7 separate regions of the Mus musculus genome follow, and regions 2, 3, 4, 5, 6 and 7 are each reported to be linked to region 1. The links are microRNA targets in miRTarBase. Many come from high-throughput screens and were not tested one by one. Region 1 holds a microRNA gene; each other region holds the end of a gene's coding sequence. Distances are between the middles of the regions.
The links. The annotated mature microRNA mmu-miR-297a-5p reads AUGUAUGUGUGCAUGUGCAUGU and lies in region 1 at 2,032-2,053, opposite strand. An mRNA with a match to its seed (bases 2 to 7 or 8) in the 3' UTR can be bound and repressed. Matches are read on the target gene's strand: a 7mer-m8 pairs with bases 2 to 8, a 7mer-A1 pairs with bases 2 to 7 and ends in A, and an 8mer does both.

Region 1 (4,068 bases):
TTAAAGCACTTCTCTGTGTAAAAGCAAGCACAGCATTCTAGTTTGAATTATGTTAGGAGACAAAGATATCACCAAAAATAGACTCTAATATCATATAAATATCAAGTGTTGACAGGGAAAAACAACACTTTAAAAAAATTCTTAAAGAATTATTAAATAAGCAAAAGGATTCTTAGTTTTTAACGACCAGAAATGTTTTCAATATTAAGAGCAACCCAGCTTTACCTCTTAACCCCATTCAATTAAAAGTGACCTTTTTCATAGAGAATGAAAGAGAAGACAGCTATTAATGAGGGAGGTATTCCAGTCTCCCGAGCCAGATGAACGATAAATTTTAAATTAAGATATATTGCAATCTGAAAACTCAAAGAAAATCATCAGGTGTACGAAAAACCAAAAGAATCACACCATAGCCTGCCTGTGTGCTGAGTTCCAGAGATCCAACTCAGGCTGTCAGGTTTCCACAGAAGCCATTTTCACCTGGAGGGAGAACTAGCCCTGGATCCGTTCTGCATAAGCTCTAAAGCTCTGAGTCACATCTCATTCAAATAGATCGATCAGAGCCACTAATGTGCGTGTAGGTGAATGCCAGTGTGTGTGTTTATGTATATGTATGTGAACATTCATATACATACATTTACATGCACACATAAGTATGAACCCATGCACATACATGGGGGAGGGCATCACATGAATCGCATGCTGATCTCTAACTCATCATGAAGTGAAACATGAATTTGAACTCCAGGACCTCCTGACGCTGGCAAGAGTATTCACCTCCTAACTGAGACATAGCTCTGGCCCAGTACTGCATAAGCTCTAAAGCTCTGAGTCACATACCATTCAAAAGGATAAACGAGTGTCATTCCTGTGTGTGAGTGTGTGTGTGTGTGCATGTGTGTATATGCATATTCATATAGAGAAATGAATATGCACTCAACTATACACCCATGCATATTTTTGGTGGGCATCACATGAATGCCAGGATGATCACAAACTTATCAGGAAGTTAAGCATGAATTTAAATTCCTGATCCTTCTAACTCTGGCAAGTGGTTTTCACCTGGTGAGTTAGATGTAACACTGACCCATAATTATACACTCTATAAAACTCTAAGCACATATAAATCAAACAGATCTATGACTGCCATTCTTATGTGTATATGTATGTGTGTGTGTATGTTCATATACATGCATGTACAAGCACACTTACCTACACATATATACACATACACAAGGACAATCAAATGAATTCCAGGCTGATCTCTAACTCATCATGAAGTTAAACATGAATTTGAACTCCGTATCCTCCTGACTCTGGAAAGAGTATCCACCTCCTAACTGAGGCATAGCTCTGGCCCAGTACTGCATAAGCTCTAAAGCTCTGAGTCACATATCATTCAAAAGGATATATGACTGTCATTCCTGTATGTGAGTTTGTATGCATGTGTGTATATGCATAGTCATATAGAGAAATGAATATGCACACAACTATACACACATGCACATTATTGGTGGGCATCACATGAATGCCAGGATGATCTCTAACTCATCAGGAAGTTAAACATAAATTAGACCTCCTGATCCTCCTGACTCTGGCAAGAATACTCACCTCCTAACTGAGACATAGCTCTGGTCCGTTACTGGATAAACTCTAAAGCTCTAAGTCACATACCATTCAAAAGGATATATGAGTGCCATTCCTGTGTGTGCTTGCGTGTATATGCATATTCATATAGAGAAATGAATATGCACACAACTATACACCCATGCACATTTTTGGTGGGCATCACACGAATCGCATCTGATCTCTAACTCATTATGAAGTTAAGCATGAATTCGAATTCCTGATCCTCCTGACTCTGGAAGGATTATTCACCCGGTGAGTGAGATCACGCACTGGCCCAGTCATACAGAACCTCTAAGACTAAGTCACATATCATTCAAATGGATCCATGAGTGGCGATTTTGCGTGTATTTGTGTGCATGCTTGTATGGGTATGTGTGTATGTATATGTATACTCATATACACACATGCACATGCACACATACATATACACACAGGCACATACACTGGGGGGGGGGGGCGCCATCACATGAATCTGAAGCTGATCCCTACCTAATCATGAATTTGAGAATGAATTTCCACTCCTGATCCTCCTGACTCTGGCAAGCATTTTCACCTTGTGAGTGAGAGCACCCACTGATCCAGCCCTGCATAATCTCTCAAACTCTAAGTCACATACCTTTAAGGCCTGACTCTGGCAAGCACTTTGACCTGTTGAGTAAGAGCATGCACGGGCACAGTACTGCATAATCTTTAAAACTCTTAGTCACATATTATGCAAGTAGATGAATGCAAGTCACCATGTGTTTGTGTGTGTGTTGCATGTGTGTGTGTGTCTGCACATGCATATCCATATACATTCATGAACATGCACACACATGTAAGCACACGTGCACATACATGGGTGGCATCAAATGAATACCAGGATGATCTCTAAATGGAGTTTGAACTCCTGATCCTCCTGACTTTGTCAATCATTTACACCTGGTGATTGAGACCATTCACTGTCCCTCTACTGCATAATCTCTAAAACTCTAAGTCATATATCATTCAAATGGATCGATGAGTACCATTCCTATGTTTGTGTGTTTCTGTGCTTGCATTTATACATGTGTGGATGTTATATATATTCATATACACACATGCACACACAACTATACACACGTTCACATGCATGGGGGGAATCACATAAATCACAGGCTGATCTCTAAGTCCTCATGAGTGTAAGCATGCATTTAAGCTCCTGATAGACCTGACTCTGGCAGTTGTCTACACCTGATGAGTGAGAACACTCACTGTCCCCGTACTGCATAATCTCTCACCTCTAAGTCACATGTTATTCAAATGGATCTAAGAGTGCCATTAATGTGTGCGTGTGCATGCATGAATATGTGTGCATGTATTTATATGTATATCAATATATATATACATGTACATGTACACACAAACACACATGCACATACATAGGGGTCATCACATGAATGCCAGGTTGATCTCTACCTCATCATGCAGTGAACATGAATTTGCACTCCTGATCATCCTGGCTCTGGCAAGGGGCGTCACCTGGTGAGTGAGACCTCTCTGTGGCCCAGTCATACAGAATCTCTAAGACTCACATATCATTGAAATGGATCGATGAGTGTCAATTTTCTGTGTGTTTGTGTGCATGTTTGTATGGGTATGTGTGTATGTATATGTATATTCATATACACACATGCACATGCACACATACATATACACACAGGCACATACACTGGGGGCATCACTAGAATCCGAAGCTGATCCTGGACTCATGAATTTGAGAATGAATTTCCACTCCTGATCCTCCTGACTCTGGCAAGCATTTTCACCTTGTGAGTGAGAGCACCCACTGATCCAGCCCTGCATAATCTCTAAAACTTTAAGTCACATGTCATTTAAAAGTATCAATGAGTGCCATTCGGGGTATGTGTGTGTGTGTGTGTGTGTGTGTGTGTATGTGTGTGTGTGTGTGTGTGTGTGTGTGTGTGTGCCTGTGTGTATGTGTTTGTGTGTATTTATATGTATATTCATATGCACACATACATTAGCACACAAAACTATGCAACATGAACATACACTGGGAAGGAACCCATAAAGCCAGGCTGATCTCTAAGCCATTTTGAAGTTATTCATAAATTTGAACTCCTAATCCTTCTGAATATGGGAAGCTTTTTCACATTGTGAGTAAAAAGTTTCATTAGCCCAATACTACATAATCTTTAAAGCTCTATGTCACACATCATTCAAATGTATCAATGAATGCCATTCCATGTTTGTGTGCTTGCATTTACATGTATGTTTATGGTATGTATATTTATATACACACATGTGCATACACAGGGACGTAAACACACATGCACATACACGGGTGGCATCACATGAATACCAGGATGATGTCCAGCTGAAGTTAAGCATGAATTTGAACTCCCGACCCTGCTCAATCTGTAATATGTTTGCACATGGCGAGTGAGACCGTTCACT
Region 2 (4,068 bases), not on the chromosome of region 1:
AACAAAATACAGAGCTATCAGATACCCCTGGAAAAAATATGTATATTATACATATATTTCTATAACATTACATCATATATATAATATATATGCAAAAAATTTGAAGACTTTAGAAAGCAGAACATCTAAAAGGCACTGCACAATGGTGTTCAGGTTCCTTATAGTTTATGTACATATACACATCTTATTCTGCTTACACAGATGCTTAGTGAAGTCATCTTCACATGTGAACGTCTCATTCATAAATCCCTGCATCACAAGTTTATAATTCAAAGAATGCCTAAATATTTTGAAACAAATTAACGCATAACTTTTTCTAAGAAGGAACTAATTAGAAGAGTTCTTTGAAGACTGAAGTTTTCTCTAAAGCCACATAAAAACATAGGCCTCACCACTACTGTTCACACAAGAAAAAGCACAAACATAATTATGGAATAAATAAAAAAACAAGGGACAAACAGCTAAATGACTATCCACTTGGTAGTGGAATATAACTTTTTTTTTTTTAATGCTTCTGGAAGTTTCTTGGCCTATGGGTCACTAGGGTTCCCTGCATTCCCGAGCTGGGGTTAGAAGTGCAGCCTGATGTCTAGGAAGACCCGCGAGCACAGCAGAGCTGATGCCCCGAGAGTCTGCTACTCTTTACAGCTAAAAAAGCAAACTGTTTAAATAAACAAGCTCTTGATTAGTGAGATTGCAATAGATTTACACCTACAAAGTTTTACACATTTGGCACAACAAAATTTAGAGGGAAGAAAAAACCCAGGGAGAGGAAGTAGGCCCGGCTTTTAGCCCCCTTTCGCCTGGCTGATGGTCAATGGCGTGCTCGTAGAAAGAAGGTGACACCAGGCTGGAGGCAGGAACTGCCAGGCTGGGGCTGGGGAGAGACGAGCACTCTCACTCCTCTGCCCCAGGAAGTATCAGTGATCACTACATTTCCTGGTCCACTTCCTGAGCGAGCCCAAGTTCTGCTCTGCAGACAGACCCTTCCCCAGATCCAGACTCCAACTGTGTGCAGTGCCAATCAACCAAGAGATTACTGGTGGAATGGCAATCAAGGGAAACAAACGGCAAATAGTTTCATAAAAGTCCAAAAGCATTTTTCATGGAGTTCACTTTCAAGTGTAAAAGCAGTGGCTTTATTCAAATGGAAGCAGCATCTAGAATGAATTCCGGCACTTGGGTTCTAGGGGTTTCAGGTATGCATCATGGATTTCCTGCCCTCATTTTAAAGGCCCCACGCTTCTATTCCTGAGTTCATACTGATGCTCGCTGGCCGTCCCCACTAGCAGACAACCGGTGGCCAGCTGGCCTCCCTGGTTTGATGGGCAACACCAACCAGAGAGCCTTCCTCTACCTGCTGGGCCTGCTTTCTGATTCAGAGGTCCGTCAAGGTGCAGAGAAGGAAACTGATCAAAACACAACCACCAAAGGCAACAGGAGGGTTGAAGTCCTTCGTGGCCCGACCAGAGCCTGGGTCACCAGAGACCACTCGGCCCCCTTCCTGGCCTTTCACACATGCGTGGAATCTGGACCAAGTTATAGGACACTCATCAAGAAACAGCAATGACAGCCTCAAGTGATCCACGTCAGCTCACACCTTTCACCAGGTCTAATGTCTCCTGAGCTCCTTTTGTGCATGCATTTCAGTTAAAGAAAATAAAACCAAACTAAACCAAACCCAAACACTCCATCAGAAGACAACACTCAAATGTCACTTAGTATGGAGTTCTTGGCCAGGCTCAGGTGGCGGACGGAGTGAGTCATCACTCTGATGCCCGAGTGCCATCCCTTGCCTCAGCAGATAGGAAACCATTTCTTCTTGCTGCTCTGAGCTACTAGAGCACACACGTGCACAGAGGCCGTTGGCTGGTGCCGCTTTCTCTCTACCCTAGTGCTAGTGTTTTGTTTCACCTAAGATCAGTATCTTCCCATTCCTTTGAAGTTGCTGTAAGGGGATTTCCCAAGGACAAATGACCCCTGTTGGTGAACTGCATTTTGGGAACAGTCGACCGATCAGAACAATCTGGGCAACGGGGGACCACAAGGCGGGCAACACCACCGCAGGCAACACCGCTCTCTCCTTTACACCAGACCTTTTGGCATCTGGTCACCACCTTCCTACCTCTTCCTTCAGTTTCGACAAGCAGTACATTGAGTTTGCAGGTTATCATCTGCCTTTCATTCCCACAATTCTGCCCTTTTGCCACCCGGACCGGCAACATCAGAGGGAATAACTATCAGCTAGGAATTCGACTGTGCCTCAACATTCCTGGGTTATCTGAACAGCGTCCATGCCCTTCACAGGTTTATGTTGACAGACCCGTATCATCTTAAAGCATGTTCGTAGTTAAGGCTCGACTTAAGAAAACAGTAAGACAACCAGACACAACAGAAAAACATCTTCAACGGCGCTATCCTGCTCCTCATAAAACGTGCTCAGTCACGCTTGGTTTGGGAAACCAAACCAACAATGGAAAAAGAAAAAGAAAAAGAAAATGAAGACTATTTCTGTCATTTGTTTTGTTTTTAAAGGCATTGGGTTACTTCCTCCTGCCCTCTTCTTTCTTCCCTGATCAAGAGTTTACAACTCCTCATGGCTTTTTGAAGGTGAAGAAGGTGAGAGTTTGAGGACCTCGCAGCCAGGCTGCCTTCCCACCTCAACTCTGAAGCTGAGGGGCCGGGGGTGGGGGGTCTCCGGTGCCCTCCCTGCCCAGTATAACTGGCAGTACACTCATGTGTCTTGAAAACATTTTCTAAAAAGGGGGGAGGGGAGCCAAATGTGCGTGTGTCACCCTCCCCCCAGGGAGAGAAAGAGAGAGTGCATGCATGGGAGAGAGCATGTGTGTGTCTCTGTGTGTGTGCACACACACACATAGACACACACATCACACACACACACACTCCAGTGAGGGAGAAGGGGGAGAGGGGAGTAGAGAACCCCATCTAAATGCCCCCCACTTCGGTAAGACTGCGATGAACTTTTTCCTCTCCTGAAACACATACTCAGGTACATGGTTAGTATGTTTCTCACGCCTAACCTTCCAGCCTCTTCCTCTTCTCTCTCCCTCTCAAAGCAAACTATCCCACTATGGGCTTTCTGTATGTATAAACACAATAGGAAAGACTATAGGGCCTGACCTGTGATGGGACTACAGTGTATGGGCCTATGGAGCTTGTCAGGCAGCAGGAGGGGACAGGAAACAGGCTCCTTCCCCAAAGTTCATAGCCTCCCTATGTCCTACGCGCCAAGAAAAAAAAGTGTCCATACCCCACTTATTTATACAACACAAGATCCTCGTCCCATCCCCAACAGAAAAGTACAAGTCCACGCCCCAGAATTATCAAACCAGCTGAACCCCACCTCCCGCCCCAGAATCTTGCTACATAAATATGTATTTTGATTGTAATATGAACAGCTTCCCTTCCACTGTGGTTTTAAGCATCAGCGGCAGCAGTGGCCGTTGTGGCCAGGCCCTGGGGTCCTGCCCCATTCCAGAGGAACTTGCCCGTTTTGTTGAGCTCCCTGGCTTCAGGGTCGTCATTCCACCGCCTCTTCAGCCGAAGCTTAGGGGGCATCAGGGCGTCTTCTTTCTTCTCGGGTACACCGGGCTCCCTGACAGACCTGTCCTCACTGTCTTCGGTCCCCTCTAGGGGTTCGTCACTGGGAGTGCTAATGGACACAGAGGGCCAGGTGGGTGAGGGGTGGGCAAACCCGGTGCCTTTCCCCTCTTCTATGGTCCTGCTCCGCATGCTGTCCACTTCTTGGGTCTGTTCCTCCTTTCCCTGGGTTGACTGCCGGAGGCTGTCAGGATCCTTCTCTGTGGCCGGCTCTACCTTAATCCGAGAGGGAACAGGAGCGCTGGCGGGCACAGAGCCGCGAACAGCCTCCTCCCGGCTCTCTACCCTCTCGCGGTTCTTCCGTCCAGCCGGCGGGGGCTGCAGCTTGATGGAGAACTGGGAAGGCTCCTCAGGATGCATTTGGCACTGCAGCGGTGGGACCATGAGCCCTGGGTAACGGGGGAAAGTCCGGGGACTCAGATGGTAGTTGAACACCGAACAGGCTTG
Region 3 (4,068 bases), not on the chromosome of region 1:
CTTGGGCCTAAATGGAGATGGTACCACCAGTTTCTCTAAGAGTTGGGAGTTCTCTCAGTGCACTGGTGGAAGGGAGAACGTTGGGCGGAAGGCACAGAGTGGCCTTCCCAGAGAAGCTCCTGGTGTGCAGGCAGATCCCAGAACCACACACATACACACTTGCACACACACAATGGCACACACACCCTGGCTGGGCCGTGTTAAAGCTCAGCTGCCTTCCTGTTTAAGTTCAATCTGTAGGGTGGGAAGGAAGCACAAGTTGCAGAGCAGAGAAAGCAGTGCCAACGTTTGAGATCAAAGCTGTGGGGCTCCCATCCTGCTTAGTCAAAGACAGTAAGGGAAGATATCCTCACCGGGCGTGGTGGCACACACCTTTAAATCCCAGCACTCAGGAGGCAGAGGCAGGCAGATCTCTGAGTTCCAGGCCAGCCTGGTTCACAGAGTGAGTTCTGTATAGGACAGCCAGGGCTACACAGAGAAACCACAGCATGAAAAACAAAAACAAAAACACCCAAAAGACTCAAAGGGATCCACCCAGCTGCAGCCTTCACGCTTGGAAGCTGAACTTGGGGTGCACATCCTTTAATATAAAACATTTCCTGAGGGGCCAACAGGGTCACTCAGTGGGTGAAACTGAGCCAGACTCTGGAAGCCACATAAAGGTGAAAGGAGAGGACTCCATAACTTTGTCTTCTGGTGTCATGGCCCATGTGTGTCCACATACACACGATACAGAACAAAAACTTAAGACGTTATGAATTTTTACACAACTGTGTTCTTCATATAACATACCAAGATCACTTAATATCCCCTCTCAAGAAAATAACAGCAACACAATTTGAAATAACTATGAAATACTAACAGGGCTAATTCATTTTCAACTGAGTTCATAAACAACAGACTCCCGTAGCACAAGCAACCAGAAAACAAAACATCACTGGGGATTTTTTGTGGACGGGAAGTGACCAGGGCAGGTTCTCGTGTACCCTGGACTAGCATGCAACTTCCTATGTAGCCAAGGATATCCTTGATGTTCTAATAGCCCTGCCTCCACCTCTGGAGAGTGCCGGGACACAGGCCCGTGTCACCACACCCCATCCAAGTTTATGTTGTCCTGGGGTTTGGTTCCAGGTCTCTGTGCATGACGGGCAAGCTTTCTACTAAATGATCTACACCCCAGGTCCTGGAATGCATTTTCAAAAGGCAAAAAAAGGGAAAAGAAAAATGGCCACAGTTAGGCATGGCGCCACAACCTGGTAACCTCAGCATCTGAGAAACTGAAGCAGCGAGTTGGGGGTGGGGTAACACTTTAGAGTCACCTTAAGCCACAAAGTAATATCAAATTAAAAAAACCTGTCATGGTTCAACCAACATTTTTCTTCTGTGGTAGATGTGTAGTGAGAGTGGCAGTGTTACCCTGAAGCCTGTTTGTTTTAGAGCTAGTGTACAAACTTTGTAAGAAAGTATACCATCTCTAAAGCAGTCTTAGAAAAAGACAGCTCCCTTGGGCTTCAGACACAAACCATATGCACTCAGCACCTCCTCCGGGGTTCTGAGCAGATCCCCAGTCCCAGCAGGCAGCTGCCTTCACACACTCCTAGCCACCTTAGATCATGTTCTCAAACAATGCAATCCAAGGACAGAATAGGAGTTTCTACTTTGTATACCTTTCATAAAGACAGGCAGCAGACATGGGTGCTGCACACCAGGGTTTCTTGGTCTGGGTCAAGTCAGTAAAATGGTTTGGTCGATCTCAGGGAGGCCTTGGAGGAAGGGCATGAAGGTGTATATTAGTTGACAGGTCGAGAAAGAAGTGCAACCCGTGGTTGGAAATGCCTGGGTCCTTCTTGCAGACGCTTGGGATGTGGGGGTCCAGGTGCTTTATAGCTGGAATGCATGTCTTCAATTCCATCATCACAATGGAGGTAGAGGGAGGAGCAGCTCTAGGAATTCCAGGCCAGATTGGTCAACATACTGAGCCCCAGGACAGCCAGGACCCCATAGAGACCCCCTCAAATCAAAAACAGAAACAAAAAAAACCAGATGGCACAGCTCTCAGGAAGACACACATAGGTGGGAAGTGCTTTTAAGACTACAGATGCAGTGATGGCTAACCCACGGACACAGACTGTTAATATAATGATGACTGTAATGGTTTCTGGGAAAGATAGCCCAGGGAGAATGTCATGAAACACAGGGAAACAAGAACAGAAAGAGTATCACTTATTATACGTGATGATTAAAAAATACAATCACTTTATTTCCACTTTTTCCCAGTCCCCTGTAGCACAGGTGAGAACCCTCTAAAGCACAAAAATATTTCAAGAAAGCATGTTACAAGATACTAGTATATGCAATATTTTGGCAGAACTTTATTTTCTCTAGCAGTTCATACCCCCCCATCCAAATTTTAAAATTCAAAAATAAGAGTTAACTTTATCTAACATGTTACAGCTTAACATTTAAAACATCATGCTGGATCTGGGAGGAGATGGGGAGGTGAATACAATCAAAACACATTGTATGAAATTCTCAAAGAATTAAAAATGAGAAAAAATAAAATATCATGCTCTAGTTAAATATTTCACAAACACTGTATACAAATAAAATATTACACAAAATATTTTTTAAGAAAATGTTTTGGTGTTTGATCTGAACAATAAATAAAAGCACAGGCACTTCTACACTGAGACAGGGAAGTGTCACTACCCAGAATTTTATCTAAGGAATACGTGATAATATGGCAAGAATAGAATCTTGGGGTTTTAACTGACTAATCACGTCCAAAGCTCAGAAGTGGCGAATGCTTCCCAGTCTCTGAACACTCACAGACCCATGGCTGTCGGGCTACTCAGTCTCCAGTTGGCCATTAGGGAATCACACTCATGATCTTCAAATACTAAAAATAGGTTAACTACCATGATGCCACCCAGGAAACCAAACACAAGTAAAAAGAAAATCCCCTCTGTCCTCATGGCCATAAGCCCTGACAAGATGAACTACACGCACTGCGTGGCTTTCCTTGCATAAAGGAAGTAACGGTTTCTAGTAACAAGGACAATACTGCTGGGTGACGGGAGATTGACATCAGTCTACTTTCTAGACAACTTTCAAAATCTTATGAAAATACATAGAATTCCATTTCACAAAGCCACCAGGTTGTGTCCTACATATATATATATGTATGTATGTACACACACACATATATACACACATACATACATAATTGTGGAGGAGAAAGAAAACAAATTAGAAACTGAGGACCGGCAGCCAGAGGAAGGGTCATAACCACTCACCCTGCCATGCTGAGCTGTCTTCAGCCTTCCCTCTTCACAAGGCAAGGGAAGGACTGAGGGCTTGGGAGCCCAGGGGCTACCTGCTCATGAAGGCTAATAGCCTCACACAGAACTCACCTATTGTGAGAGCACACCATGGGAACTAGTCAGGCTAGGCCTTTCTGTGAAATGCAGCTCATGTCTATTTCAGCATTTTAAATTAGGACTTTGCAACTGAGACCAGATATCAATCATCTCTTGAGGTTTTCTGCTATGTACTAACATTAGGTCTATATAGGAACAAATATTTTTCTTATTTTTCTCTTCAATATCAAATGTCCTGAAGCCTTTGTGCTTCTCTGGAACAAGGCCCAGTTTCTGAAGGCACATTCCCGTATAAACATCATCAATAGGGTAGAGATGGACCCGGCTAGTCGCACTGTACAGCCTCAAGGCAAGGGGGCCGGAGTACAGGAATCCACCACCCCCGGCATACGGTGGGTAGACGCCGGTGTAGAAGACTTCTGGGATGTAGTACTTCAGTTTCTTATCCCGGTGAGGCCCAGCATTGTGGATCACGTCACCTATGAACAAGTCTTTGGCTTTGCTCTTGGATAAGCTATTCAAGTAATTAAGGATGTGATGGGTGTTCACAAACACGTCATCATCGCCCTTGAAGACAAACTCTGCGTCTGGACAGGAAGTGCTCACCCACCTAAGAAACAGCACTTCCTTCAGGGACAGGTTGAAGAATGTGTCTCTATAGTTCCACATGAGGATGTCCTGGTGCTTG
Region 4 (4,068 bases), not on the chromosome of region 1:
TTCGTATGTCCAGCCTGTGGGCTGGTTTTGTTTCCGTTGCTGAGTCTGCCTTGGTCACTCTTGCTCTGGTGTTTGACTTTGTCGTCTTCTCACTGCCATTTGTTCACAGGCTGGTTGCATGTACATCCACGGAGGAGTGGTGAACATCCATGAAAACAAACGGACTGGGTCGCTGTTTAAGATCTGGCTGGTGGTACCTAGCCTGCTGGAACTGGCATGGGAGAAGCTGCTCGCGGCCTTCCCCAACCTAGCAAACCTCTCCCGAACACAGCTCCTGCACCTTGGACTCACACAGGAACTCATCGAGCGTTTGAAATGAAGATTTCTGGACTGTTCATTGATACTGGAAATGTTAATTTAAAGAGACTCCTTTATTTATGGGCAGTGTAGAATGTGCTACAAAGAGGATTGGCTACCCTGATCAAGGCCTTATTCAGAAAATACATCAGATGCCTTTTTGTGAATGGGTTTAGTTTATGGACATTTCACTTTCTCATGTGCTTTCTTCTTTGCTCCCCTCCCTCCTGCCCCTCATAATGCACCCCACACTTATGCACTCCCTCTTTCTTGATGGAGTTGAGGGAATGTCTGAAAGTCCCTTAATAATGTTAAGAATCAAGAGAGAGAAATTGTTGCCTTTTTTTTTTAATTCTGAGCATATTGACCATGTCAACTAACACTACAGATTAAAATATCATCAACAAACACAAAGCTTAAAAAGCCAGCAACAACAACTCTTGGTCTGGGAGATAGAGCGAGAACACTAGTCTTGGTAGCCTAGCAGGTTGTTCTTAAGTCTGGATGTTGAGTTAGTGTTTCTGAGATGTGCGGAGTGGCTGGACTCAACGGTGCTTCATGACTTGCTGTAAAAATGCCTGACCTTGACACTAGCAGGCAGCTCAGTGACGTCTGATTAGCGATCCCTTCAATCCTGTAACGCTCCGGTGGTTAGCGTTGGCCTGCCAATGTTTAGTGTGTCTGTCATCATCACCCTCTGTTGTTGTCTCTCAAATTAAATGTATATGGCATCAAGTTCTTTCCAGGCAGTTCTGAACTTCCCTTGTGCTTATTAATGGCTTTAAATATGTCTTTGACTTCTTGGTGGGGGATTGTAGACTCTTAAGTGTGTGATGTAAATGTCTACGGACAGTAGATAGAGCACAGCACCCGCACCCTTCAGGCTTAACTGTCTTACCTTCTGCTTGGGGTGCTGGCTTTGACTAGCATAGCAGCTGCTGCTTTTTTAGAACTTGTTTCTCTTTAAGTCTCTGGACCATGTCCCTGCGTTTTCTTAAACTGTTGGTTCTTGATTGCCTCCTGAGCTTGTTGCCTCCTTTGCTGTCCGCTTCTGTGTTCACGATGCTGTGGTTGCCTAGTGACTGGAGGAAGGTCTTAAGGGAAAAGGTACAGGGTCTCCTTCTCAAGAAGCAGGGGTCATTGGAGAGCCAGCAGGAGGAAGGGGTGAGACAGGGTGATTCGCTTCTGTTGGTGAGAGATTTTGTTTCCTCCTTTCTGGAGAGAAAAGTAACGTACGTTTTTACTCCTTTTGTCCTCAGGCAGCTAGAAGAGCTGAGGAGTGACTTGTGTAAGCCTATGGGTGTCCATAGGTGCAGTCAGGATGCTAGAGGCCTGCAGGAGGGTGCAGCCAGTCCCCCCTGCAGGCTCCTTGCAGAGGAGACATGTAGGAGATTTCAAACACATTTTTCCTTTAAGTGCCTCTTTTCCACCTAGCTTTAATATTATTCATTTTCTTTTAGCCCAAAAGAGATCTCTTTAGTTGATATGAAATAAAAGTCACCTTTGAGTTACAGTAAAAAAACGTTCCTGCCCGGTGTGCAGTCTTAGAGAGGTCTCCTCCCTTTGGCTCCCAACAGGCCTTATGCTCCATCCGTGTGGGTTAAGTTAGTGGAGCCTTTGCTCTGTGGTCCTGAGTGAAGCCCTTATCTCTGAGTGAGGGGATGGACCTGCGTTTCTGGGGTCTTAACCCCCAGCTCTGGCCACTTCCTGTTGGTGTGGCTTTTACTTCCTGCCACCGATAGGCGCACTCCTCATAAGACCCCTCTCCAGAGCAAGTCAGCCTGAGCCACTGTGTGCTCAAAACTGTGACTCTGGGCCAGGTCTCCTGGACACATGGTGGAAGTGTATCCCAAACTAAATAAGCCATGTTTTCTAGGGTGACAGAAGGATATTTGTCATTGGTTTATATAGGGACCAAAGGCAATGTTCAGCCTCTGTGCTTTGACTCCCATGGTCCTTGGACAACTGAGGCTGACTCTGGTTCTGTTACACTAGAAAGCTGTAGAAAGGGGGCTGATTCAAGCCAACACTTGTTGGCATCCTTTTTAAGCCAGTTGAAGGCAGTCTCTTTGAGATGGATGTTGGAGGCCTGACATCAACGACCTTCTGTATCTTAGAAGTGCATGTTGGGTCTAAAGTGTCTTTGAATAGAACACTAGCGAAAGTGGTGCAGGAAGCAGCTGAATGCCGCAGCCACTCACGCACATGTTCTGGATGCCAAATGACTGTGGAGAAGGACTTAAAGGAAGGTGACTGGATCCTCTCTAAGGGTCACCAGCATTTTGGTTTCTCTATAACCAGCACTCGGGATTCCCAGTGGCATCACCTGGTGTGGGAAGGTTGTGATGCCTGCTGCCCCCCTGCCTTTTTGAGGTGCGCCCAGACATCTTCCTGCAGTCCTGGAAGTAGAAGTGCAATATGTAGAAACATATGGTCTGTACAGATTATGTAGAATCGACGAGTGTAAAGCAGTGACACCACTCTTTGTACCTGTCTTGGGCAAGTCAACTTATTACCTTAGAGTAGAATTATGCCAAGAACTTTTAGTGTGATCATAAGCCAACTTCTTGGTAAAGCTGGATTTCTTTCAGGTCCATGTTTTCTTATTCTAGTTATAAAAAAAAAGGTCTGTTCCTCAGTTTGCTAGGAGCTGAGGGTTTCCCATCCCTGTTTGTACTGCCTCCCATTTGCATGTCTTGCCCAGGAATAAGGAAGTCCACTTGAAAGTGTTGCCCAGGTAGAGAATTGAAACCTAATGTTAATACAGCCCCCCCCCCCATATACGCTAACTTATCTGGGAATGTAATACCTTATTAAATGATGTTTTCTTTACGATAAGGTATTTTCCACTTTACAGAAAACTGCAAACCAGTATATAATAGATTGAAACTTTACCTGCTTTTCAGGACAAACAAAACCCTTCCTTCCCACTGGCAGAAATCATCTTTCAGGGCCTAATGATTTGATATAAAAGCTTGCTTTATAGCATTCATGTCCAGTACAGAGCTAGATTTTAAAATTATATATATGATGAAAATATTAACATTTCTAGATTAAAAGTATGACTGATCTTTCGTTATCCACTGTAGCAAGGTGAAAGCACACACAATCGAAATCCATAGATAATCAGTGTTTAGCCTTCTCCTTCAAACAGTTGATTTACATATCTTGTCCCTTCCTGTCCTTCTTCCACACACATCCCCTTTTCAAGGGACGAGAAGTCAGAGAAGGAAAAGAAGCTCAAAGAAGGGCCAGCAGCTAGCCAGGCCAGGCTCCCAGTTAACTTAGACACTGGTAGGAAAATGACCACCGGTGGGAACCTTGAGCACAGCCTGCTGCTGAGTTCTCTGCTGCTTCCTGACCAGAGAGAACTCTTAGTTCCTGTGGGATGAACAGGCTGTGTTGAACAGAAACAGAAACCCCACTGTCTGAGCACATTTCCTGGCTCTTGGCAAAGCTTGCTTTTTTGTTTCCTCCTTTGGAGTCACCTTCTGCAGTCTGATGTCCTGGTGTGCAGCAAGGGTGCTCTGTCCTCTCGGACTGTGTTGGTTTTGTCCCCTGTAAAAGCAGTTTGCTGTTCTGTGGTCTTAGTGATGCTTAGAGAGTGGCCCTCCCACCAACACTCTGACGTAGCACAAAAAGCCATTTTCCTTTTTGTTTTCTGTTGTTTCCTGGTGTTGGGCTTCAGGGTGAATGCAGGAGGATTTATTGTTACAGCCACGCTTTTCAAGAGCTGGTTACCATAGGTGTAAATTCCATTGGTCCCCAGGT
Region 5 (4,068 bases), not on the chromosome of region 1:
GAACCAAGGCTGAAAGCAGAGGGTTTGGATGTCCATATCACAAACCCTTTTTTTTTTTTTGAGACAGGTTCTTACTATGTAGCCCTGGCTATCCCAGAATTCTCTATGTAAACCAGGCTAGCCTCAAATTCACAGTAATCTGCCTGCCTCTGCCTCCCTATAACTCAAGGTATGCGTCACCACCCCCACCTCCAAACCTCTGATGTGGTGTATTGAGGCAGAAGTGTGTGAAACTGGTTCACATGTTATTTGAATGTCACCCTTCATGTATTCAATACTACAACAACCACCAGTTCAAATCACACAAATTATCAAACTTCTAAGACGAGACTCCAGAAGGTAGGTTCAGCCATCTCCAGAATAACTCAAAGCCACCTATAAGGTCTTTCATTTTAACAACGCTCCCTGAATGAGTGTTTTGTTTCTTCTTCTTTTTTTCACAGTGGCTGAGTTTTTCAGTACTCTGAAGTTACATGCCTGGAGAGGTCTAGTGGAAGAAAACAGCCAATGACTACACTTAGACACTTTGTATCTGGACCTTGAACTTACGGGAACATTGACTTCATCGGATGATTATAACTGAAGAATATAACCGTCTGGGATAGATGAACTTTTCACATATCAGAGTAACATATTTGCATATTATTAAACCAAATGCAAATGAATTGCATAACCCTTGGTAAGGTCAGAGGAAGCGTTACACCTGTAAATAGTATATCCTTTTTACTTCTACACATTGTCCTGGCCATAGCAATATTAAATCAGGAAGGAATGCAGAGAGCTTTAAATAACTGGGCAAATAGTAAACCAATCTCAGAGGCTACAAGGCCTTGATGGGAATATTTGAAGAAATTTTAACTTTTAAATGCAGTGGTGGCACCTGCCACAGCAGCCCAGAGACTGCCGCTTGCCCTGAGCGAACTGAGAAATACAATGACGAAGTAGTCTGATGGAGGCATCTAAAGAACCCAGTCTGATGGAGGCATCTAAAGAATCCAGGAGCCAGGAGTGTCTGACACAAGGCCAACCTGGGCTGCCTAGCAAGACCCGATCTCAGAAAATAAATGCCAATTTAAAAAAAGGGCATGCTTGCTTCCATCATTTGGTTCTAACAGAAGATGGTTTTTATATACCTTTAGCATTCTTAAACTCAAGTCCTTGACCATATTTGGCCTTAGACACTTAGGTCTGACAAGTAGTAAGTAATGAGATCACTCTGACCAACTGAGCCAGGTGTGCCGTCTGCAAGAAGATCGTGATAAACCCCAGGGACTGTGCCTACAGCTGGGGAGGACAGGGCTCAGAAGATCTTCTTAAAACAACCAAGCTGGCTTCTTCATCCTGGGAAAATGCTAGCAACCATACAGACATATTGCCTTATCTACTTCCAAACGTACTGTTAATAAAGAGTTACAACACAGTCGCACCATGCCTTGTTTTTCTTCATAGAGCATGGCCCCCATGGGAGGGCTGAGGAGCACACAGGTAACAGCTGGGTTCTACTTACGTGAGGTCTGCTGCTCTGAAGGTTCAGACACTGAGAAGGCATCTTGCCTATAATTAAACTATGGAACTGTACAACATTTTTAAAACTCTAGTTCAGAAGTTCTGGTCACTCTGGCAGAAAGGACAATCCTAATTCCACCTGCTTGGTCTGGTTTAGGACGGTTTTGGGGAAACCCCCTATATCATTGCTGGCTCCAGAGCTTAGGCCTGCTCCCATGGGGATGGGGGGCCATTGTGGGAGCTGAGAAACCCACATAGTAAATCACTAGTCTAGGGCTAGACCTGTCGCTGGTGATCCTTGAAGAATCACAAAATGGGAAGGGAAGAAAGAAGGCAGCATGATGGGAAAGTGCTACCCACTATTTCATGGACAGTTTTGTGGGCAGATCCTCACCTCCTAGGGGTAGAGGATATATAACAGGATTGCATATAGTCCAGACAGATCTGGACCTATGTAACTAACATTGGCCTTGAACTCCTGATCCTCCTGCCTCCACCTCCACAGTTGGGGAATTATAGCACCATTTCAAGTAGTAGATGGGTTTCTCCAACACAGCTAAAGGTGGGCTGGGAAGGTTAAGAAGTTGGGAGAGTGTGTATGGAACTAACTCGGGTCACTGGATTGAGCTTTCTCTGTTCAACACTGAGGGGTTTCAGAATAGGGGGGAATGGGTTGTCTTGGGAGTATGGGTGACCAGAGTAGTGTTGGTGAAGGACTGAAGATGGGATTGGATGGAGGAAGGTGATAGAATGTTTGAAGTCTGAGGTTAGGAGACCTAGCAGGGAGAGGGTGGTTATTCCAATAAGGGCAGCAGTTCTAGACCTGGGTGGGAGTGAGGGCAGGGGTCCTGCTGTAAGAAGCTGAGAGGAGGGTGGTCTTGGGTGAGGTGTGAGCTGGCCCCTCCCAAGTGGCAGAGGCTACTCTTGACATCACTAGCTGGCAGCATGTAGCCAGCCCATCTGTCGCTCTCCCTGATGCCAACTTTGCTTTGTTGCAATGAGGACAGGGTTCAGTTCCCTGCATCTCATGGCAGCTCACAACCTGCTGTGACTCCAGTTCCAGTAGATCCGATGCCCTCTTCTGACCTCCATGGGCACTGCATGCATGTGGTGCACAAGCATATAAGCAGGCAAAACAACAATACACACCAAATAAAAATAAGTAAGCCTAAAACCAAAAACCGGTCGGTGCTCATTTTACAGGGAGGAGATAGACTCCCATCCTTTTTGATCCCATGGGAACTGTTCTGGCCTGCATCTCACCACCACTCCTGTAAACCTCTGCCCTGAATTGCTAGCCCACACCTGCCTTAGCTCTTCTGTGGACCGGACACACTCATCTCTTCAGTTTTTCTTCTCATAGCTTCTCCTCAACAGCATCACAATCACACTCCTGCCCCATCCTGACCCGTCCTTCCCCGGCACCAGGGATTCTAAACTGTCCTAGCTAGATTCACTTCTTTGTTCCCCAAATCGCTTCTCCACCTGGTACCGTCTAGCTAATTAACAGCCTATCAGTCTTCTCATGTGGCTACGGTCCAAGTTATCTGTCATGGGTGCTCCTAGGTACACCTCCAGCCTCCAGGCCCCCACCGCCCACCCCTGCCAGGCTCTGCTGCCTTTCATTCCACTCAGTTCTTCCTCTGACCTGAGTCCACATTCCCCTAGTTTCCTCCTGTCCCTTGCTTTTGTCAACTGTGACTCCAGTCACATGACACCACCTCCAGCCAAGACTTCACCTAAAGTTTACACTCTCCTCCTTAGCATGGCCCACTGCACAAGGCTTCCTTCTCCCTTTTGTAAAAACAAAAAGCACCTATAAATCCTGCTGTTAGACTGGCTAGCACACACACACAGAACTAAAGAACAGTTAAACTGTTGGATAAATTATGAGTTTGATATAGCCATTGAATCCTAACACACAATAGCAAGCAAGCAACAGAATACAGAATTGTTTCCAGCAGGCTCTCAGCTATGCAAAAAAAAAAAAAATCTAAAAACGAGACTACAAAACATACCCAACAGTGTCTCTCCAGTGTCCACTGCCTACTCTACACAAGACTTCCTGCTTTGTATGTAAAATTTGGAGTGAAATTACAAATGAAATAAATTATATGTACTCAAGTAGTATTAAAAGGAGAGAAAGTATTAGACTGAGTTCTGTTGTAACAACCACTTGTGGCTTATTTTCATCATGATTTGAAGACAGATTGACAACCCACAATTCTGAGGTCTTAGAAAACACTGAGTACCAGAGATTATTTCTGTTGAGTCGATTGTTATGTAAAATCTGGCCAGAATCGATGCCTTCATTGTGTAATTCCTGTTAAAGTCTCATAGGCATTGTTTAAGATGGTTTGCATATATGAGGTCTATGTGATTAGTTTGAACATCTGTGAATCCCAAATACATCTCTAGTGTGGGTGGACAAGGAGTTGTAGAATTGTACTGCAGAGGATTAATGTTGCTATACACAACTTAGGGGTGTGAATAAAAAGCTGCTACTTAGGAACCTTAAAAAAAGAAAAAGAAAAAAAAAAAAAAGAATTAGTCCTAGACAGA
Region 6 (4,068 bases), not on the chromosome of region 1:
TAGGAACCAACCTCCTGTATCCTAAAGTGGCTTTAACTCGGAGACATCTTCCTGCCTCAGCTTTCTTTGTGCTGGGATTGCAGGGATGGGTCACCCCTCCTTGCCTTTTAGTTTTAAAAACAAAGTTTGAATGAGATTTATCCCAACCACATCTTAAAAATCATGAAGTGAAAAAAGGCTCTTCAAAATGTTCACCCTCTCCCTAAACTCTAGTCCCCACTCATTCCAAGTTCCTTCTGCCCTTCCCTGACCCTGCCTTCCTAACTCCCTTGCCCTTACCATTTCTACCTTGGGATGGAAGCAATTTTAGGTCAGATTTTGAGCATAACTATTGAGGCTACTTCCAGCCTTGGGGTCTTCATTGTGGTGGATCAGTGTAGCCTCTGTGCTGACAAACAGTAGACTGTGGCCCTGCTTCAGCTCCTGAGAAGAAATCGCCGCTGACACTGCAGGTGCCCAGAGTATTGGTAACCAATGTCACTTGTGCTCCCATTGCATAGTGTAGTGTGCTATGGTATAGTTACTGTACTATAATATATATAGTGCATCATGATATATTTTTATTCTTTATAGTAAGTAGTTTCTAATAGTTGTAGCCTCTGCTTATCTGATTGCTATTAATTTTTCCTTCTGAGATAGTTTAACTGGGTATATAAGTATTGCATTAATAATGTTACTTTAACATCCCACTGCTTGTTGAAATGAATTAAGAATCTAAGATTAATCACTAATATATCACTTTATTGGTAAATAATCTCTGAATAATAGGCCACTTGGAATACTGCACAGGCCCACATTTTAGTTTCTTTGAACCAAATAAGAAAAGTTGCAAGATGTTTTAGTGTAAAAATCAATTTATTATACAACAATCACACAGAATGCTTTTCATCTAAAAGAAAAATGGCTTCTGCCTCCCTTTCCACCCGAGTCATGATACTGTGTTCTTCAGATGCCATACTTTCAAAGGAAAAAAAAAAGTCCTCAATTTCCAAAGAAGCGACCTCTACTAACATTCTTAAGTGACACAGGAATGTTTGGAAGGACTAGAAAAGAATGGTCTCTAACATACAAAATGCTATTCTGCCCATTTTGGTTTAAAAAAAAATTCTCTGATGTGGGAAGACAAGAACTTATCCACCAATATGTATAAATATAATTCTGATGGGTTGACATTTTCTATGCTTAATTCATTCAGCAAATATTCCATTTTATTTTAAAAGTTGGGGAAATTAAGGTTTTATAGTATCTAAGTACTTTTGTTCTCATGAATAAAAGGGAATTCACTTGGGAAAAGACGGTTTCCTATCAGATTATAGAGACTTTTTTTTTATACTTCTATTTTAGAAAATTCACACTAAGAATGAATGGGTTAAAAATCTTTCCAGATGGCATTTTCTCAGCACAGATTTCGTAGCTCTGCATGGTGTGTCAGCCCTTGGGTGGCTTAAGGCTTAGTGCTGCGCTGGGCTTTGCACTGGGAGGTCTAAAGCTGGCTGGTACTGTGAGCTGCCACTGTTGATCTGCTATAGGAAGATAACACCCTTTGTGCTACACAGATGTGAGGTCATGAAAACAGCCTAAACTGAAGGTACGATGCACAGCGCGACTTAAACGCCTCTCACTGGCGAGCAGGAATAATCTGGTACAATGGCCAGTGATGCCTCTTGAGTCTCATTTTTACCCAGAATTCATTTTACTAACAGATTTCAGATTGTGTTTGAAAACTAAAGCTGAACTCCAGATTCACCAAGGAGTTTGTTCCTTTGGTCTTGTCATAGAAGGACAGTAACATACTCAAAGCTAACCCTTAAGATGAATTCTTGGGAAAGAAAAACACCAATTTGAGGCTAAGTCACCAGAGATGGTGGTAAGAAAGCACCCGGGAGCAGATCAGTTTGAGAAATTGTTTAGAAAATGCACTGAAGCATAGGTGGTCACCAGACAGGAAGAGTCTGTTCAACAGGAATGACAGACATGGCACAGGACATCGGACTGTGGTGGTTTTCAAAATACACCAGTGAGAAGGGTGGTATAGTTACGAGTTTAAAACATCAGTACAATTTTTAACAGGGAAAAGTTAAAATGGGAGCTTGCCCAGAAAGGAAGACAGGGGTGGGCAGGCCCCGCCGTTGGCACTCGAGGAACACCTACCTGGTGCCCATGCGCTGGGTGCCAGTGCCATGAACCAAGAACACATTTGCTGAAATGGAGGGGAAATAGAGTAAGTTGTGTTTTGTGTATGTTTTGGGAAATGCCCTTTTTCACACCTGGTATAGATTAACAGTGGTGATCCATCAGTTTGAGGAAAAGGAGGTGGTCCATTGCCTTGCTCAGGCTCTGTACTAGGTTCTCCACAGAGACCACAGTTCTGAGCAGGGACAGCATTGCTGCTTGAGCCAGACACATCATTATGGCTTAGTCCCACCCCACGAGATCGTTCCAAATGACTGCTATGCTTTTCTCCTCTCTAACAGTTAAATTTAACTCATGAAGCTTGACAGCAATGGCTTGCAATGGTGTTCACGAGCAGGCTCAGCAACTGCTTGCAATGGTGTTCACCAGCAGGCTCAGCAACTGCTTGCAATGGTGTTCACCAGCAGGCTCAGCAGCAACAGCTGACAAATAGAATGTCTATTTTGCCCCTGGGGCTCTGTTGATTATGATTTGTAAATATTCCAATTGCATTTCTATGCGAAGAAGAACTGCAATTGGACAACTCCAGCCTTTGTTCAGAAAGGGCATGGCAGCTGTATGTAGACACTGGCTTTGGATGTGGGGAACATAACTCCAGAAATCTAGACTAACAAGGGAGGTAGACAGGAATGGATGAGCAAGGATGCCAATTGAAACAGAGACAGCTCTGTTCAAAGCCCCTGAGTTATGATTTGGCAAACACATTTTTCTTTTCTGGTTGAGACAGGGTCTTGTGCCTGTGTACCCTAGGCTGTCTCAATACCCAAATGCTGGACTCACAGATGGGTGCCACCATACCCAGCTCAAGAGGCTGTTCCTTCATGGAATGACTAATCTTCAAACTATATTGAAGACAAACGAATTTCATTACCACATCACTAAGTTGGAAATCAGAGGTGGTTAAAAAAAATGTAGCAGATGAGACTCCTGGCTTGAGAGGGGAAAGGGTTTTGCTGGATTCTGTCTTGCTAAGGATCCCGCTTAAATGCTGCCTGGGGCTGCTGCCTTAAGCAACAGCAGACTAATCGATTTATGCACTGACAGTTATTGCTTGACATAGACTAGAACAGACCCTGACATTTACACTACAATGAACAGTTTTACACATCTAAAGAAAATTAACTCTGAAGACTTGCCATGAAGAAACGAAGCCCGAGTCTCCTGGTTTTCGACGTGAATAAGGCATTACAAAGCGCTCCGGAGAGGGGGCTGTGCACCTGTTCAAGGTTTGTAGAGGTCGGCATGGCTCCAGTTAGTAGAGTAACCTAATAGCAATATATTATAATACATTCTGGGTACAAATGATTTACAAACTCAAAAGGAATTAGTTTATGCTAAAACATACAACTTTCTATTCAGTCTCTGCTTTAAAACAAGCTCGTCTGTTTGCTGCCGCCGCCGCCGCCGCCACCACCTCAGTTTGTGTTCCCCGGCACTTCATTTTATTGAGCCTTCTTGTCCGTCATGCCATTAGCCACAATTAAGTGGGCTTTGGGGAAACCATTCTTCACTTCTTTCTCTTGCAGCTCTTTCTTCACTGGCTTTTTCCGGTATGTCTGTCAGAGTGTAGACAGGAGAAGAAGCAGGGAGGCATTTTAATAAGGCCTTGTCTCTAACTCCCGACATAGCATGTAGTTAAAGTTCTACACAGTTTTCCTTGGCGTTGGACCTTCTAATAAGAATTTGTTCATTTTTAAGCCTCTGCTGCAAAGCTCAGGTAAAAGCCAACACAGACACATGAATGTCAGACAAAGCTACTTCACTTTATCTGAGTGACATCATAATTTGCTAGCGATCAATCTCTTTCATTGGTTGTTCACTTGGAAAAACATAATAACTTCCTTTAAAATTCAGAGTAAAAGGAGCTGCTATTTT
Region 7 (4,068 bases), 110 Mb from region 1:
AGGGAGCGACAAAGCTGTTTGCGTGTACTTGGGTGGTGCATAGCTCCTGCTCTGGTCCAGAGGTACTGGAGTAGGCTGCTGTTTGGGTTGGGGGTGGCTTCTGGGGCTGATGCCTCTTGCAGGTGCTGGAGGAGACATAGAACACCACTCACTCTCAGCTGTTCTTCCACACAGTGCATTTGCAAGATACCCCAATGGGGTGGTTGTGCACTACTTCTGCTCCAAAGAGGTAAACTCAGCCGACACCTGAGCCCGGCAGCCCAAGCACTCAGCAGTGGACAGCTCAGCTTTCCCAGAGAGTTGAAGGAGCAGCCACCTTGAGAACCGTGCACTGCTACCAGGGACGATGCTGGCCACCTTGCTCTCTGGAACATCTCCGAATTAACTGGACTTGTGACCTGGCATTGCCGGCTTTTTACTAGAAGAGATTAGTTATATCTTACGCTGTTATGTTGCAGACAATTCCAGGAGTTTAACCCCTGCTTGGACAGGAGGAAATGCACCATCTTGCCTTTGTATACCAATCATCTGGACAAGGAGATTTCATCTCAAGTGTTTGTACCCATGGGGTTGTTGACTGTGAGTTTTCTATTACAATAACTACACAGCTTCACAAGATTCCCCCAGCATGGCGGCCTGGAGAGTCCCATGGGAGCCCAGCACTAGAGCTTGCCAGCCCACTGACCGCAGGCTGTTTATACTGCCAGTGTTTTCTCCAGGAGTCTCCCTGCTTATCCCTTCCGTTTTCAGTCGCCTTTTCTTCCTCACTATTTATTTTACCCCTGGATCTCTTCCCTTGTACCGTCCACGCTTCCCCTCCCACTGTGTAGAGTGGGAGGTAGAGTAACTAATGCTTAAATGTGGCAAATGGGAGGCCCTGATGAGCAGGTGTCATGGACATTGTATGAAGGGTCTCAGGAGCTGAACTTTTCTACTAAGATGTGTAGGAGAACACAAGTCTCTGTAGGTGTAGGCTTTGGTACCTCCCCGGGGCAGCACTGTGCAGGGTGTGTGGTCTAGGCAGGATCTCTCTAGAAGTGCCTGCCTCGGCCACTCACCAGCTGCTTGGACAGGCTGTTGATTGGACAGGCTGTTGAGTCTTTATAGGTGAGCGCTGAGCATCTTCCTCCACTCTAGCCACTTTCTGTCCTGTTGTTTTCCTGGCCATAGTTGTTCCTTGGCCTTTCTTCTGCAAGACTGGAGGATCGAGCTAGGATAGCTTGGTAAAGTATGTCTCACTGCACACAGGGAACAGCTGACCAGAAACCAATAGTGATGAGATGGCGTGCAGGTTTGTGGGGCACTGAGGAATGGCAAAGAGTAATGCAGGAGCAGCTCTGTTGAGTATGTCAGGGAGCCGGCAAGAGGTACGCAGAGCAAGAGGTACACAGCAACTTCTGGCCTTGGAGGCTACAGACACCAGGCACACACATGCACATACATATATGCAGGCCACACACCCATACATAAAGTTTAAAAAAAAACAGTGCTGCCCATGAACCCATCTGCACCACCTTAAAATGTACTTCCTCGGGAGTGGCACTGGGATGCCAGGCCACTCCCCATAGGACAGGACCAGAACTTGTGCCATCATGTGAGTCCTGCCCTTTTACCTGGTAGGCTTGTAGCATCCCTTCTTATGAACTGTGTTTGAAGCAGTAGAATAAAGCCTGTATTTTCTCCTGGGTGGTGTGCATACTTAATTCTGTTTCCCTAAACTCCATCCTTTCTTCCCAGGATCCTGCCCTTCATAGAGGGAACAGGGTAGCTCCAGCCTAAGGATGATGGAGGCTGCTTCTCAATAAACATAAGTGAAAAACCAAGTTTCCTTGAGCCTCCCTCTTCCCTTTCTGAAGACTAAAGGAAATGTAAGGGGATAGTAGCTTAGCTAAGAGAGAAGAATAAGATAAGACAGCTAGTAACTATGAAAAACAGTAAAAATAACACTCCTCTCAAGAGAGTCGGGGGGCTGGCCCAGCTCCTTGCCTGCTGCAGCTAGCCAGAGCAGTGCTAGAGAACTCACACTGGTGGTGTGGGTGCAGGAGAGCTGGTGGGCTGACCAACTCGGCTACCACCCAGGCTCAGATCCAGGGCTTTGAGTTGGCCCAGCCCAACATCTACCCCATCTGTTAACTGCTGGAGCACATAAAAGGGCCAGTCCTGCAGATCCAAAGCTGCATGACCCAGGGCAACAAGAGAATATCCAAGATGCGTCCCACTGAGAATCCAGTATTGATAGTGTAGCAGATCCAGACCAGTGACTCGTTGTAATGAACATTTCCAAGTAAAGACGTGTGGACAAAGGGGTGTACTGTGGGACACACTGATGCACTACTACTTCCACAACAGTATTTTGTTTGTTTGTTTGTTTGTTTGTTTGTTTTCCTTTGAGGGGGAGGTTGCGGGGGCAGAGGGTGGATGTGAAGAGTTGGGGAGTTGAATGGGATTGGAGTACATGTGAAATTCACAAAGAATCAGAAAGTTAAAAAAGAGTAACACTCCTCTCACAAAAGCCTCCATCTGTGGCCAGCACAGCATCTGTGGCTGTGGATGTGTGGCTGATCTCACAAGCACAGAATATTTCCATCATCGCTCTGGGAATCCCAGAATCTAATACACCATTGCTTTGTGCCTCCTGAAGCTCACTATGGCCAGAAGACTCCTGTGAAGATGTGGAATTGGTAAGAGGGAGGGACTCTGTTTGAAAAGTAAAGTTGGCTCACTTTTCCTGGTTCTAAAATGCCAGTTTGGTCCCTCTGTGATACCCTAGCTGTCTGTCTGTGGCTGTCCTGAAGATCTTCTGCCAGTGAAAAGCATCCAGAACTTGAGTTGAGGCATGTCTGTTGAGGCATGGGGAGATGGCTTCCGAGCAGAGAATATGGTTTAAGCCCAAAAGCACTCAGCCAGCTAGAACTCTGCCCCTCCTTACCCAAAGCCCCAGCTTCAGCCTGGGATCCAGGTGCTGAACTATCCATGTTCAGCAAGGGGGCTGGGCTTAGCCATCTCTGAGTCAGATCTCTTTTACAATCTATCTGAGGTGAAGCAGGTCACCACAGTTACGTCACCTCTGGTTCTGGAATTTCTGGTCTGAGCATGGCCTGTTCGTTTGGGAGTTAATTCACCTTTGTGGATGTCATTGCAGCCTCCAGCTGTGGATGTGTGAGGGAGGGAAGGCAGTAGAGATTACCTGGTCGAGATGGGGGTCTTATCTGGTACCTTAAACTGGTCTCACGATGCTGAGTTCAAGTGAGCCTCCTGCCTGTCCTGGGGTTCTGTGTACCACTACCCTTAGCTATATGAAAGGGTTATGGTTAAAGAGATGAAAAGAGTCTCCTAGGAACTTTTGCTAGCCACTGTCCCTGCCTCGCCACCTAGATGACTGTGGTCCACAGGAAAGGACATGACATGCGGTTGCAGCCGGAGCCTCAAAATGGTCATGGACACTTTAAAGCCTTTATCTCTGGCAGTTTAAGGATAGAGAGGCCTGCCTCTCTTCTGTCCTTATTTACAATACCTGGCCATGCCCCCGCCTCTATGCCTGAAGCACCAGGCACTTCTACCAACCCAGGAAAGGAGTCATGAAATGAATCTTTTCAGGGTGTGGGTGGCTTTGGTACAGACATACCATGACCTTTGTGTTAAGGAAATAACTGAGGGAGGCCAAAAGAGACAATAAATGTCAGTGATTCCCCATAAAAACCCGAGCCAGAGATTTCTGTTTCTGCTTAAGAGCTGTGGAGAAAGTGGGACTTGAAGGAGAGATGGTGTGGGGCTTTCTGGCAGCTAGATGAGGTTAGCCCTGATTATAGTACCTCCTGACTTCTGCTAATGGCAGACTAGTTGGAAACAAGAATATCTGGGCTCTTGCCCTACCCATACATGGCAAGGGATGGGAGTGGTGTCTGTTTTTCACAACTAGTTCAGCTAAGCAGGGCCTGAGTTGGAGACCAGAGAGCTAAGCAGGACCCCAAGAGTCTCTTGGAAAGGGAGCAACTTGCCTATTGCCTAGGGAAAGCAGGCTCCACTCATTTCCTGGAGCACTTCAAACCCCTCCTGGAGCACTTCAAA

Region 2: miRTarBase lists Etv3 as a target of mmu-miR-297a-5p. Seed matches in the 3' UTR shown: 7mer-m8 at 3,102-3,108.
Region 3: the mRNA of B3gnt2 is a reported target of mmu-miR-297a-5p. Seed matches in the 3' UTR shown: 7mer-m8 at 3,186-3,192, 7mer-m8 at 3,182-3,188 and 7mer-A1 at 2,520-2,526.
Region 4: miRTarBase lists Klhdc10 as a target of mmu-miR-297a-5p. The part of its 3' UTR that is shown has no 7-base or 8-base seed match.
Region 5: miRTarBase lists Capn2 as a target of mmu-miR-297a-5p. The part of its 3' UTR that is shown has no 7-base or 8-base seed match.
Region 6: miRTarBase lists Elovl2 as a target of mmu-miR-297a-5p. Seed matches in the 3' UTR shown: 7mer-m8 at 2,749-2,755 and 7mer-m8 at 2,237-2,243.
Region 7: the mRNA of Vps39 is a reported target of mmu-miR-297a-5p. Seed matches in the 3' UTR shown: 7mer-m8 at 1,436-1,442.

The regions. Positions count from the first base shown.
Region 1 is chr2:10,515,062-10,519,129 of GRCm38, reverse strand. It overlaps Mir297a-4 (microRNA 297a-4), which reads right to left and starts at 2,063; the gene lies at 1,966-2,063. All of the region lies in intron 10 of Sfmbt2 (Scm-like with four mbt domains 2), which reads right to left. It overlaps Mir297a-3 (microRNA 297a-3), which reads right to left and starts at 3,310; the gene lies at 3,209-3,310. It overlaps Mir466l (microRNA 466l), which reads right to left and starts at 3,033; the gene lies at 2,913-3,033. It also overlaps Mir669i and Mir669h.
Region 2 is chr3:87,536,023-87,540,090 of GRCm38, reverse strand. Etv3 (ets variant 3) reads right to left here. Exons shown (of 5, transcript NM_001083318.2): 5 at 1-4,068. The coding sequence ends at 3,439. Among named protein-coding and RNA genes, the nearest start is that of Etv3l, 12 kb to the left of the region's middle.
Region 3 is chr11:22,832,511-22,836,578 of GRCm38, forward strand. B3gnt2 (UDP-GlcNAc:betaGal beta-1,3-N-acetylglucosaminyltransferase 2) reads right to left here. Exons shown (of 2, transcript NM_016888.5): 2 at 2,229-4,068. The coding sequence ends at 3,483. Among named protein-coding and RNA genes, the nearest start is that of B3gnt2, 25 kb to the right of the region's middle.
Region 4 is chr6:30,450,378-30,454,445 of GRCm38, forward strand. Klhdc10 (kelch domain containing 10) reads left to right here. Exons shown (of 10, transcript NM_029742.3): 10 at 110-4,068. The coding sequence ends at 319. Among named protein-coding and RNA genes, the nearest start is that of 1700012C14Rik, 8.6 kb to the right of the region's middle.
Region 5 is chr1:182,464,611-182,468,678 of GRCm38, reverse strand. It overlaps Capn2 (calpain 2), which reads left to right. Exons shown (of 21, transcript NM_009794.4): 21 at 444-1,426. The coding sequence ends at 467. Among named protein-coding and RNA genes, the nearest start is that of Capn2, 51 kb to the left of the region's middle.
Region 6 is chr13:41,181,659-41,185,726 of GRCm38, forward strand. Elovl2 (elongation of very long chain fatty acids (FEN1/Elo2, SUR4/Elo3, yeast)-like 2) reads right to left here. Exons shown (of 8, transcript NM_019423.2): 8 at 724-3,749. The coding sequence ends at 3,636. Among named protein-coding and RNA genes, the nearest start is that of Elovl2, 37 kb to the right of the region's middle.
Region 7 is chr2:120,314,216-120,318,283 of GRCm38, reverse strand. Vps39 (VPS39 HOPS complex subunit) reads left to right here. Exons shown (of 25, transcript NM_178851.4): 25 at 175-1,823. The coding sequence ends at 250. Among named protein-coding and RNA genes, the nearest start is that of Pla2g4f, 2.1 kb to the right of the region's middle.